2 linked regions of the Mytilus edulis genome follow. The protein of the gene in region 1 interacts with the protein of each later gene in a pairwise test. Links are inferred from orthologs where the notes say so. Each region holds a gene or a part of one and is shown on either strand. Other genes may lie near its edges. The genes, in order: metaxin-1-like and metaxin-2-like.

The links.
Region 2: the proteins of metaxin-1-like (region 1) and metaxin-2-like interact in a two-hybrid assay, tested with the Drosophila melanogaster proteins (2 studies listed by BioGRID). The link is inferred for Mytilus edulis from reciprocal best matches to the Drosophila melanogaster genes CG9393 and CG8004.

Annotation. Positions count from the first base shown.
Region 1 is NC_092347.1:61,934,208-61,941,557, reverse strand, and holds the start of metaxin-1-like, read right to left. Parts: upstream 3,087-7,350; 5' UTR 3,042-3,086; coding exon 2,958-3,041; intron 1,612-2,957; coding exon 1,536-1,611; intron 117-1,535; coding exon 34-116; intron 1-33. Other genes in the region: ADP-dependent glucokinase-like, read left to right, coding at 3,307-3,479, 5,417-5,642, 6,527-6,592, 7,323-7,350. UniProt on the Drosophila melanogaster protein: Involved in transport of proteins into the mitochondrion. Essential for embryonic development.
Region 2 is NC_092350.1:23,171,930-23,178,428, reverse strand, and holds metaxin-2-like, read right to left. Parts: upstream 1,636-6,499; 5' UTR 1,566-1,635; coding exon 780-1,565; 3' UTR 666-779; downstream 1-665.

The sequences.
Region 1 (7,350 bases):
GTAAATAGCATTCACTATAAGATTTTCCTTTACCTGATTTTTTAAGTAGGATAAAATATTGCCTAATTGAGATTCTGTTGCCGATCCATGTTGTAGTACTGGTAGGTTGTGTTTTGCTGGAAAAAAAATACACATATGAAGCTGTACATGTATATTGTCATCTGAACACATCAATTATCTAAATAACAATATGCTCTTTTGATCAAGAAACAATCAATTAAATAAAAAAATTCTGAACATTTATATATCATGTATTGCTTTGTGAGAAAGTAAATCATAAAATTTCTGATTCCAATTATATGAATGTACTTGGAAATTTAAAATGTGTGGTTAATTTATCTAAATGTACAAAAAATGATACATTTATCATATTGTGTATTTCTTTATGAGACTGTTGATTACATTGTATATAATTCCTGATTCCAGGTAATGTATTTTTTCATAAATTGTAAACTAAATTATATTATATATTTTCGACAATGACCATAGAACAGAACCTTTTTTCTAAACATCCCCAAGAACAATGCTTTTCATGTTATTGCATCTCCCTTTTAAAACTTTAATATATAAACAACTTTTTTTTATTGTTGAAATCATTAATTTGATCAAATTTGACTTCTTACAGTTGTTATCTCCCCTTCTACGCTAAATACGGTATGTTCATTATTGATATGGTCCGAGAACACAATTATTTCGTAGTGCATTTCTTTTAGAACATAAATGAAAATTAAAAAAATCCCACCTGCGCTTTCTCAAAGAAACTTTTACAGTGTGTTGTACTACTTTTGGGACAAATTATATCAAAATTATAGAAAACTTCATCGGCTCTAACTCAAAATATGGACAATTTTATGTTTAGGGCGTCTTGAAATCTTTTGACAGCTTCCGAAGTGCTAATTTTCAACCTTTTTCAGCTGGACCAAATCACTACTTTCCTTTAAAATTCTGGACCCAAATGTTTTTACAGTGTAATTTCACCCCCATACTTGCAATTTGAGGCAATAAATATGGAGAAATAAAATTTGGAAGGGGTATAAAAATTAATGGCAAGTAACCCACTGTCAACACTAGGGACTATATTCGTGAACAACGAAAAACAAGGGACGACAATTGTGGTCTCGGACCATATAACATAAACCATTTGTCATTTAGACATAGAATTTTTTATTTTATATTTTTTGGTACATATCTTGAAATTGAGGTCAAGATCATGTTTAGGTTTGCCCTTTGCTTGATATATATCTCCTCTGAAACAATAACAAACAATTAAGGAGCCTGAAATGCTTACAAAGATTTTGCATAAAATTGATAGAATGCAATCAGAAAAATAATGAAGAAAAAAAAATCTTCTTTCCAAACCCGATCATAAAATACACAAAAAAAAACACATAGTAATTTTAAAAGACAGAAAAAATATGTCATGTACTTTGATTGTGATCCAAAATATACAGATTTCAATAAAGTCACATTAACTACATCGTAACTCATATCATCTTTGTACAAATACTATGTATAATTGTTAACTTAATACAAACCTAGTGATGACTGAAATAAATTTGTCTGGTGACTTTTCTGTACTTTAGTTGGAAGACCAGAAAATTTACAATATGCCTGCAAATAAACAGAAAGGCATTATTTACTGATGAATTAATGAAACTCAGAATACATTCATTTATATTTACATTTGCCATAGTATGTATATATGCTTCTTGCAAATAAAGTATTCATTCATTCATTTACCGGTAATTTTTATTACATACATATATATCAAAACTCATTCACAATTATATGAATACTAAGTATAATGAACAGCAACCTGCATGTTTATCATTCCTAATAGGGGCTGCATCTGCCTAAGATATTTGGGGCTGTAAATTATGACTTGGTCTGGAACGTACATCATGGAACCCACAACTTAGTACATTTGTACCACTGTACCAGTTGATGGTATCAGGTCTGTTCGCGCCCAATACACTTTCGCACCCTACACGTTCACACCTCACATTTTCGCCCCCCCACCCAAGTCCGTTCGCACCCTACACGTTCACGCCCAATTTGTATTAAAATTTTAGTTAAATTATTAGATATTTTTTATATGAATATAACAAATAAACATGATAAATGTATTCTATTTGAATAAAATTTGAGAAATTATTGAATAGAATCTTTTTTTATTAATTTGATGATTAATTATTAAATGTTAATGTTAATGTCTCCGACTTGATGAAAGAAGCTGAGGTTGTTGATGTCAGTGTGCGTTCCGTCGACTTAGAGCGAAATGTTCACCGCCGCTACACAGTACATGTACTAGAACAGAAGATACAGACCTTGTGGGATTCTTACATGGATATAGCAATGTCAACTACACACTTCATTAAGGTGATCTCCAGACTGTATGGGCGTTTAGACTAACCAACTGAAGATGTTCCGCAACAGTAGACTTTTAAACTTTGATTAACTTGTGTTATAGTTACTTGAATATTCATGTTTTGTTGTATATGTGTATATGACTGATGTATGATTGTGTTTTTTTCTAAAAATTTGGGTGCGAATATGTGGGGTGCGAAAGTGAAAGGGGGCGAATGTGAATGGGTGCGAAAGTGATTGGGTGCGAAAGTGATTGGGCGCGAACAGACCCGGATTCCCAGTTGACAATGCATTGTAAATGCGATCCTACTAAAAACCTCATTTGGTGCCTTATATGCACATTTGCCACTGCTCTACAAACTTACATAAAGAAGTCATGAAGCTTTGCCAGCTAATATAGAGCGAATTCATTTTCTATGTTAAGTGAAGTGTAGCTTCATAGTGTCAGTGAAACCGTATCGCAGTGAAACACATGTGTTCAAGAAAGTTGCAAATCTGCACTGTGTTCAATAAACAAATACTACAAGGGTGTGTATCGACTTATTTCAAAGTTGTTAAATAGAAGGGGGAGAAATTAACTAATTGCTTACCCAAACTGTAAGACATTCATTGTCAACTGATGGCAAATCCCAGTTTCCTTTCCAAACTTCAAGGTTAAGCACGTCGTCTGTCATGTTTACAATTATGCGGAATAATTTTACCGGAAGTGAATAGTTTTTGTTAATTTTTCTACTTTCAGATTAAAACTCAATCCATATTTTTCTAGAACTATAATAAATCTTAATTCTTTTGTCATTTTCTTGTAAAATGAGATTTAAAGTTCATGAAAAATGGTATTAAATATTGGCAAGATACGATTTCCCAGCGGATTATCTTTTAGTGTTCTATTTTCCGGCGGGGTGTTGTTGGGCACCGGTTAGTGAATGTTGAGTTGGCATCATGTTTCCCAAAACTTTATCTGTAGCTCTAGTGGTTATTTTTCTTGCTGTTTTATATTCAAAATGGTTCCCAACAGTGGTAGAAGTAGTCAATCCAACAGAAACAAGAATTGTCATCGCCTGGCAAAAAATCATAAAGCCACCAACGAAAAAATTCCAAAGACTTGTTGTTGGGTAAGGAAATCATTAGTTTACACAAAGATTACATTATCTGACAAATCATATGTTAAACCAGCAGAAAATACTTCTTAGTGCATGTATGCTATGATATGACAGTCATGAACGCTGGCCAATTTTTGTGAATTTTTTAAAATAAAAAATGTAAGCACACTGTGAGCTCTCACTATAGCTTGTCATAAAATTTACATCGACTCTCAAAGTGGTGCATTTGTCCTTTATTTTATATTTCTCAATGTTCATGTATCACAGTAAGAACCAATTATACAATGTTTCCTTTTATTTTGATTGACATATGCATTTGTAGCAGGTCTATTGTCATAATTTTAAATATTTTACATTATAATTAAAAAGAGGTTGCCTGACATCAGAAGGTTATTTGATACTAATACAGCTAAATATTTCAAAGCATTTATATCTCTATACCCAACATTCAAGATTTATTTTCCCATTTTAGCCAGAGTAATTTTAAAAAATATGCAAGTAATACCTCAAAAATCATTTAACCCTTTTGCCCAAAAACTCTCCTGTAGTTGTGATTGCAACAACTATTCCTGTATAACCTTATGACCCTTCCATACCTATTTTAGAACTTCACAAACTGAACTTTGTTAACAGCAGGAAGTTCAATTTAACAATTCATTGCCCATAAACTGTTTCAAAATGTATTGTTTAGAAAATATGACAACTTTAATGCCCTTCTAGTTCTTGTACATGTAGATCAAAATTGGAAACTGTAAAAAGTCGTTTTAACAACCAAATGTAAATGGGGGTAAAGACTACCTCCTAATTATTAAAGGTAAAGGCTTTGGGTATTTACTATTATTCTTAATTCATTCATAGGTTCATTTAGTTCAGTAATACAAGGAAGTACATTGTTAGACTATAAATCCTGATATAATACTTATCTGTAAAATCTAGACTTTTGTCAGAAATTTGTAAAAACAGACATTTTGGCAAGACAATGAAGTCAAATCACTTCCACTCAACAAAGAATGATTGGTGTAACAAATATATGTTTCAAAGAAACATGTTTTACTCAATATGAACCTCTGAAGTTCATATTAAAATCGAAAAATGGACTGCAATTGTCATTTTTCAGCTGGATTGGGTTGTCCTTTTAATTCTGCAACCAAATATTTTAACTTCAGGTACAACATGTAGAAAGCACTTTATTTTTATTTGAACTTGTAACAGATAAATGTGAAATTATCAATAGTTTAAGGTAAATGTATGAAAGGTGGATGTTAAATTTTTTATATATTTTTCATTTTGTACCCCAAAACAGGTCAAATCAGTGAAAATAAATTTGACAGCTAATAACCCTTTAAGACAGATTTCAATGTATTTATGTATGTACTACAAATGTACATGTACAAATGTGTTATATTTTAACTAGAAGGCTTGCACCAGTGTAGGACTGTTTGAGATTGCTTTGTAATATGATGACCTGTTTATTGGTACAAAAATATATGAAATTTTTAACATCCACATTTTTCAATACCTAGTCATACACAACCCATTTATTTTATATCTAGCTAAGGGTCAAATTGAAGTGGCATGAATACAAATCTTTTCGAATGGGATTAAATAATTGTCTTGTAAGAAAATAATGAATACATCAGTATTGTATTCTAAATATTGTGTTTCAATTTTATGATCCAGTACTGTTTGTAGAGAAATGGAATAATTTTATTATATAATTTAAATTCAAGAATGAATTTACTCAAAGTTCAGATTTTTTTGTAATAATGTACTCTTTTGAAACTAAATAGGAAGAGTAATAACTGGTGAAATTGTATGGACAACAGTTTTAGTGTCTGTTTGTTGCCCTCCACATTTTTTTTATATTAGTTAGGTTTGAGTCTTATAAATATATACATGTACCCCCACATCTCCTTAGATCAATTTGAATAAAATATTGATATTTTCAGCTGCAACTCTAATCTTGACTACATAGTACCAGGAACAAAGTTACTACAATCTTTGAATATGGAGCCAGGTGACAAGACCAACCATGAAACTTTACATAGCTTAGACCATCTTCAACAGACATTTTCACACTTCTTTTCCAAAGGTGCTGCAGCAGAAAGGAGCTTTATGAATAAAGATGTATTCAGGCAAATTACAAATGCTGCGGAAAAATTAGATGATTTACAGGTAAATAAACGGGATAGTGATTTTTTTAATGAAAATGTTTGATAATATGATGACAATTTGTTTCTAGGATGGGGTTACATATATGTAATATAAAAGTAACAATGCATTATTGGAGAGGGATAAAATATAACATATAGTAGTACTTGTAATGCAATATTATGATTATCAGTATTAAATGATAAGGTAGAAAGTTAGAAACATATTGAGAGTTAAACATATATATTCTCTTTTCTTATATATTACAATTTTCATATATAATTTCATTGTAGTGTATTATATCAAGGAAAAAGATATTTCAATGTTGGGGCCCATCCTTCCACAAAATTAGAGTTTAAAATATGCTATTTGGACATTTTCAGCTAACATTTAGGGGACCAGCCAAAAAATGTTTCCCTTGCTTACATGTCTCTTTTGTACAATTAAATACTTAGAGAAAAATAGGAAAACATAGATAATTATCTCCCTTCCAACAAAATGAACAAATTCACATTCTTAGTTTTGTTCTCTATTGTTTTCTGTCTTATTTCTTATATCTAAATGTTTAATTGTACAGGAGATTACTTCTAGTCTTTTTACTACCTATATCTTGATAACAGATTCTTTACAGAAAACTATTCATTTTCTTTTAAGAACTATTAGTCATCCAAATCAGCTGTTACAAGATTATAAAAATTTGCTTACTTTATCACTACTTTTGCATGTTATATTAAATATAAATCTGAAATCATGTTTTATTGGTGTGTAATGAGTATGATGTTTATTTTCCATTTATGTTTTAGTTACAGCTTTTGGTTAGAATCAAATAAAGTTGGGCCAACTAAAGAATTAATTTGGTTTTAAGATTTTAAGGTGAAATATAAGTTGTTTTCCCCATTCTTTTTCAGGTTTACATAGGCGGCAATGCAGCTTTAATGGCCACAAAAATCTTAGAAATGTTTCCTGATGTAAAGGTATAAAAATGTAAAAATAAACAAAGATTTAAAAAAAGAAAAAACAGAAACAATGAAACACAATACGTCACTTAAAACACAGATTAAATATTAACAAGAGTTCATGCTATAAATTATACATTTGGCTTGTTATATTTGTTTTTAAAGAACTGGGCATGTTGGCAATAAAAAGAGAGGAACGACACATTCCAACTCATTATTCAAAAGCAAACTGAGAATGCAAAAAAACTAAAAACAATCAAAAGACAAACAACAGTAAAACAGAGTGACTAATTTAGATTTTTAAATCTTGAGGTTAACATTATATCTACCATGTCTCTACAAAGTGCTAAGATAGGGATACAGTGACTACAGATATAAGTATGATGTCTTCCATAGAATTATTATAATCATGTCTTGAAGGTATTAAGGGAGACATGCTTTTGTTTCAAAATAATCTACCATGTCTAAACCAAGTGTTCAGATAAAGTGACGACAACTATAAGTTTTATGTCCTCTTTATTTTGTATACATGTACGTCATGTTCTGAATATACCTCAAGGAATTGAGGGAGACATGCTTTCGTTTCAAAATGAAACTTGAATCACAAGGGTTTTGCATGGACAAAAATGTTGTGTTAAATGCTTAATTTCAAAATGAAACTTGAATCACAAGGGTTTTGCATGGACAAAAATGTTGTGTTAAAAGCTAAACTCAGAAGATTTTTCAAAATTTGATTATTATTTTGTAGATACAGTACATTGGACCAGTGGGACCAA
Region 2 (6,499 bases), on another chromosome or scaffold:
TTTTCTTTGTTTTTATTTATTTTATTCAGGTTGGTATGTTTTTCTTTTTCTTTTTATAACTTTTCTTGTAAGAATTTTGTATGATGTTGCAGTGTTGGAGAAAGCTGAGTACACATATTTTGAAATATTAGTATTATTCTTTTTTAAACCTTTTTTTAAATGTATGCATGTTTATTTTTAAATAAATGTATAAATAGGATGTTGTCTCTTTCAGTATTGGATTATCCAGTTATATGATAAAATTATTGATGTGTCATCAGATAATAAAGTTCTTATTTCATTTATTACACTTGCCATCAAAGTTTTTCTAAACATTGCATGAATAATAAATGTAATATTTAAAATTATTTTCTGAAGCAACAGCAATTTTTGAAACAGTTTCATAAGAAAAGAAAATGATATGTGTTATAATTTAATGTACAGGTGCTGGATATTTTGCTACATGTTGAAGACACTTAGGCTGTTTTTGCTTTTTGGTCAGATTGATGTCTGTTTGGCACATTTCCTGTTTCCATTCTCAATTTCATGTAAAATGTATTACATATGTTAAGACAATTCCAACAGTACATTAAAAACTTGATAATTTAACTGTCAGATATTGATGAAAAAAAAAATATACAATTTACATGTGTAACAAATCTATTTATGGATAAAGTAACACTCAATCAACATTTATATTTAATTTTGTATAGTGTAAAAATCTATGATTTAGATAGATCTAATACATTTTTATTTGACAAAGATTGACCTGTCACAAGAACAATGTATATCAACTGATATTAATTTTCTTGAATGTCTCTGTAAAATTTCCCCTCAATACGAGTACATAAATCTACTAAATTCCTGTAGTTTTGAATGCATCCTGTCAGTTTTGAATCGGGCAACCGAACAGTAATGAGATTATACAAATGTCCAAACACTAAAGCATCCAATTCTGTGGGCTTTTCACCAAAGAAATAAGTGTTCTTAGCTAAGCGATCAGACAGAGCCTGAAGACATGCCTTTATTTCATCAAGAACATTTTCTTTTGTCTTATCAATCCAACCACATGCATTCAATCTTGATTTCACCTCCATTTGTCTTTTCCATGGTAGAATCCAACTCAAAGGCCATGGGTGTACGGATCCATATCTTGGTCTTGTGGTTGAAGCAAATATATCTTTGTCTATCCATGACAAATACAGTTCTGCATTGTAAAGTACTGTATGGACCATAGTAATGTATGCTGTCATTTCTGATCGTTCGGTCTCATCCAAATGAGCACTTATGGACAATCCTCTCATATTTACATTTGCCACAATTGGGTCGAATTCTGCAACCAGAAACGCTCCCATCTTTAAGAATGGAACCCTTCCTGATGGAGACATTTCCTCTGCATTTGTTTTCAGTTGAAGATCAAACTTCAGGCCACTCATGCTCAGAAATGTTCGCACTGCTAGACAATTAGAATAGTCGGGAAGAGTAACTTGTTCGACCTGATATGGCTGAAAAAAGGCTACATCCGTAGGCCACTTTTCCGTTGCTCCAATTTTTAAATGCATAACATCTCCAACTAATGATGCCATGATAGTAAGTAACTTGTAGAAAAATCAGATTTTTTTTTACACAGGAAGTTGTCCTGGTGTAAGAATTTTGAAATCGGTTTGGTGTGTAAAATATCCGGAATCGGAACTAATAACTTTTTTACCTTGGACGTTCAGACAGTGCACAGACACGCGATTCGATGAAAATAAAATTATCTAAATATATGGCAAGCTGTTTTGCTATTTATTCTTACTTCAAGATATCTCATAAACTTAATATTATTATAAGATATCTTTTATATAGTTTATTAGATATCTCATATAGTTTATAAGATATCTTATATGAGTTTATAAGATATCTCGATAGTTTATCAGATATCTCGATAGTTTATAAGATATCTTATATAGTTTATAAGATATCTTATATAGTTTATAAGATATCTCATAATTTATCAGATTCTTATATAATTGTCTTGATAAGATATCTCATTATAAACTATATAAGATATCTTATTATAAACTATATAAGATATCTTATCAATTTTAGGAGATACCTTATATAATATATAAGATATCTCATAAAAATGAAATTATATAAGATATCTTATATATTATAGGATATATCTTATATATTATATTTGATATCTTTAATGTTATATAAGATATCTTATATAGTTTATCAGATATCTTATATAATTGTCTTTATAAGATATCTCATATAAAAATTGTTTATTTGATATCATATAAACTTTATTAGATATCTTATATAACATTAAAGATATCTTATATAACGTTAAAGATATCTCATATATATATATATAATATATGAGATATCTTATAAAAAAGAAACTATAAGATATCTTATATATTAAAGGAGATATATCTTATATATTATATAAGATATCTTATATATTAAAGGAGATATATTTTATATATTATATAAGATATCTTATATATTATAGGAGATATCTTGAAATTCGAATGAATAGTAAAACGGGCTTGCCATATAAATATCTTAATATTAAAGAATATATAGGTATTTGATCTTCAAAGAAAGGTGACTATGTGGAGACAGAGTGAGACAGATTCTTCGGTTTGGCCATGTTAGCTAAGCCTGATTTGCAGAGCTAATTTTAGGTATTATATATGTCTCTGGTACATTTTATAAAAGCATGGATATCATCTATGGTATAAGATTGCACAGTAAAAGATTCTACAAAATTCAATTACGAAAAATTGGGGGAAAGCATACGTAAAGGTTTGCGAAATAGTGTAAAACGGTTTGTGAATGATATGTTTTATTTTATCAAGTATTTGGAAAAGTTACTTAAAGAATAAAAATAATTATCTGCTATAAAAATAATGACACTAAGTCCGAAACTAAATAATAAATAAACAGCAGTTAAATTCTTTAATAAATCGTTTGAATTATTCAATTGAGGATTATGTATCGGGCCTTGTGTTGATTCAATGTTAAACATGTTAAGTACAAAAATCCACACTGAGCCTTTCCCCTCATACCTTCAATTTTGGAAATTTGGTGCTTGATAGAGGATAGTTACATGCAGTGCTATCAATAGTTCCCTAAAAACAAGTTTATAAATTTAGATATTGGTTAAAACAAATATAAATATGAACCAAATCAAGTACACCTTGTAGGAGCCCCCCTTTTTTCTAATAGGATGCACTCGACTTTAGATACTCTAGTTTTTCTAATTTAAAGGTTGTTTAACACTTTTTGTAAATAATAAAAGCTAGTATTACACAGAAAATCAAGTGAGTAATCAGTGTTTTAAATTCTATGACAAAAATCTTTGGATTACAGTTTGTGGATTACCTACACAAATCTTGTTTTTATTAAATGCAATGAAACAGTACATACAAATGCTTAGCACGAAAACCATGTGGTATATGTACAAAATGGCCCATCTCTATTATTCATTATCTTTAATGTTTTGATACTTTGCAGATTCTTTTCATACCTGTAGCCAGGGGGTGGTCCTAACCCCCCACCCCTCCCTTGAAAACAAATAAGCACTGTTAAAGTCAACGTTCTGTTCGAATTTTGACTGTCAAAGTCGAGTTCTTGAGTCCAAATAACCCCCTTTGAAAATTCCTGGCTACGGCCCTGCTTTTCCATCTTTTGTGATACCTCATTTAAATGAGCACTGAAGGAGTACTGCAAGAACACCCTAGTTAATCTCTGACGGATCTCAGTGGCTTTATATTGCTAAATATGGCTTTCCACAACTGCATTTGCTATATCATTTTTCATATAGGTGCTTGAGGACAGAATTCTGTTATGAGTCCCCCCCCCCTTTTCCCTTATTATAACAATTCTTAGATTTTACAATATATATCACTTATTTGTACCATATATATATATATTGATATACCATATTTTTACTCTAAATATGCATGTTAACTATCAACGTGAATCTAGACTATAGAATGAAGCTATTGTCTAGTTTCTGGTTGATAGTAAACATGCATATTAAGAGTAAACATATGGTATATCATATGCACGTTTTTTTCCCTTAAATCATGTTTACTGTTGTTGGTTTTTGAGTTATGGTTGTCCATAATTTCACAAATTCCTGTTGCATCTTTGTATATGTTAAAAAGTACAACTGATTTCTGGCTATGAACATTCTATCTCTTTTGGAGAGTTGTCTCATTGGCAATCATACCACATCTTATTCTTTATATATACGGAGCCAAAATAGATTAGCAACAAAAATGTGAAATTTTATTTTATTACAAAATCATATGAAACATATAATTTTAATAATAACAAAATGGAATTATGACATGTCAGAAGCAACATGAATGTTTATCACTCACATTCATTATGATTTTCTTTGTATGGAGTGCGGGAGGGTCAAAATGCGGAAATGAGTAGTGTTATTCAAAATCAATTTCTCAGTCATGCCCTAAGTGCACCAATGAAGGATTGGCAGGCACACCAGCAGCTGCCCCTAGTCAATGCACTACTTTTGAGCAGGAAAAAACTTGTCCCGTGTTGACGTAAAGCGAAGGTAACGCTCCTCCCTTTATGATAGTTTTTTTTTGGTCTACGAGATATCGTCCTATCCTGTGCAGTTGTAATTTGTTGATATCTGTTTTAAACTGTTGCCATATGAACATTAAATCGAGCCACGATGTCAGCAACACTCATTTTGGCATCAACCATTCCAAGAGCTTTCTGATGGTCATTTTCGTGGAGGCCTGGTTGACGCCCCATGCAATTTTTTCAAAGGTGTATGTGTTTTTCTTATCAATGGTATGTTTCTGATTGTTAGTGAAAAAGAAATTTTTAATATCGTTTAAAAAGTACAGGTACAGAAGGTAAAACGGGTCTCACTATTTAGCGACAACAAGCGTCAAGAAGTGACAACAAGCGTCAACAAGCGACAAGAAGCGACAACAAGAATTATTTTAGCGACAACAAGCGACAAGAAGACTATTTAGCGACAAGAAAACATTTTTTTTTATTTATTAGATATATAAAGAAATTTGTATTTAATGTTTTTTTTTAAATATACGAGCAGATATGTCTAATTAAAATGTTTTATTATATAGCTAGACAAAGAAATGAAACATTTGCGAGGAAGAAAGAGATTGTGAAGTTTATATTAGTATATTGGTAGATGAAGAAATTTAACATTTGTGAAGAAGAAAGAGATTGAGCTTCTTTTTTTATTTTTAAATATGAAGAATATGTATAAGATAATGTATGTATCTGTTTTAATTAAAGTCAAAGTATGAATAAACGAATGGAGATATATATGGAGCGGGCATAATGGAATATGATATTTTGATTCATTTGCTTAATACTATGCTCTAAATGTACTCTTGTTATGTCAATTCGATGCTTTATTTATAGAACTCTCAGCCACGCTTTGCCATTTTTATTATTTAAGCGTGTTTCCAGACCCCACGACAAGGACGTGGTTCTACCTTGGGGTCCATATATTTTTTTTTTAAATTTTTTTTTAATTATTTTTAGTCATTATATAGTAATATGTACATTCCTATCTAACATAATATTTATACATTTTGTACATGGTGGTCCCATTTTGATAAGCAAACATGTGGAACATCAAATGAGATTAACGAGTCGCGTGTCCCCTGTTTTATTGCTACAATAACATCCAATTAACACCTTCAACTTTGTACACGTGTCAGACTATACAATTACACGCGCCAGAATATACAATCATTGTAAATAATGATAATATCGTTTAATGAGGCAATAAACAAATAAAAAGATGAAAACATTCACATTTCAATTTTCTTTTCCTCCTGTTTGATTTCAGTTCTTTGTATTTCACAATTTGTGTCAATATTTTCAGGACAATGATGCACAAATAATTCATTTTGCGAGCTTAATATATATTGCACGAAAAGAGTTTTAAAAAACAAATTATAAGATAAATAATATGTTCTAAAACACAAGGAAAAGTAATCTCATAATACAATAATTAAACGTAATACTGGCTGTTATTCATAATAGATGATAAAATATTATGTATATAATGTTTCATTTTTTTCTATCAATTTTAACCTTCTTGTCGCTAAAATTATTTTCTTTTGCATATTCTTTTAATATTTAAGCATTAATTAATTATAATATATAAAAAAAATGTTTTCTTGTCGCTAAATAGTTTCTTGTCGCTTGTTGTCGCTAAAATAATTCTTGTTGTCGCTTCTTGTCGCTTGTTGACGCTTGTTGTCGCTAAAATTCTTGTTGTCGCTAATTAGTGAGACCGGGTAAAACGTCAATTACACGTGCAAAGCTGAAATGGCGTGAAATCAATCACCAGGAAAAAAGTACGTTTGTTTTAAATTACAGGTAAAACTGAGGATTATATCAATGATGTTTAAATATTTTTTTCGAAAAACAACAAAAAAATAAGATACAAAAAAAGTGCTGCTAAACTTTTTTGGCTCAGTATATAATTATTTCGAATAAA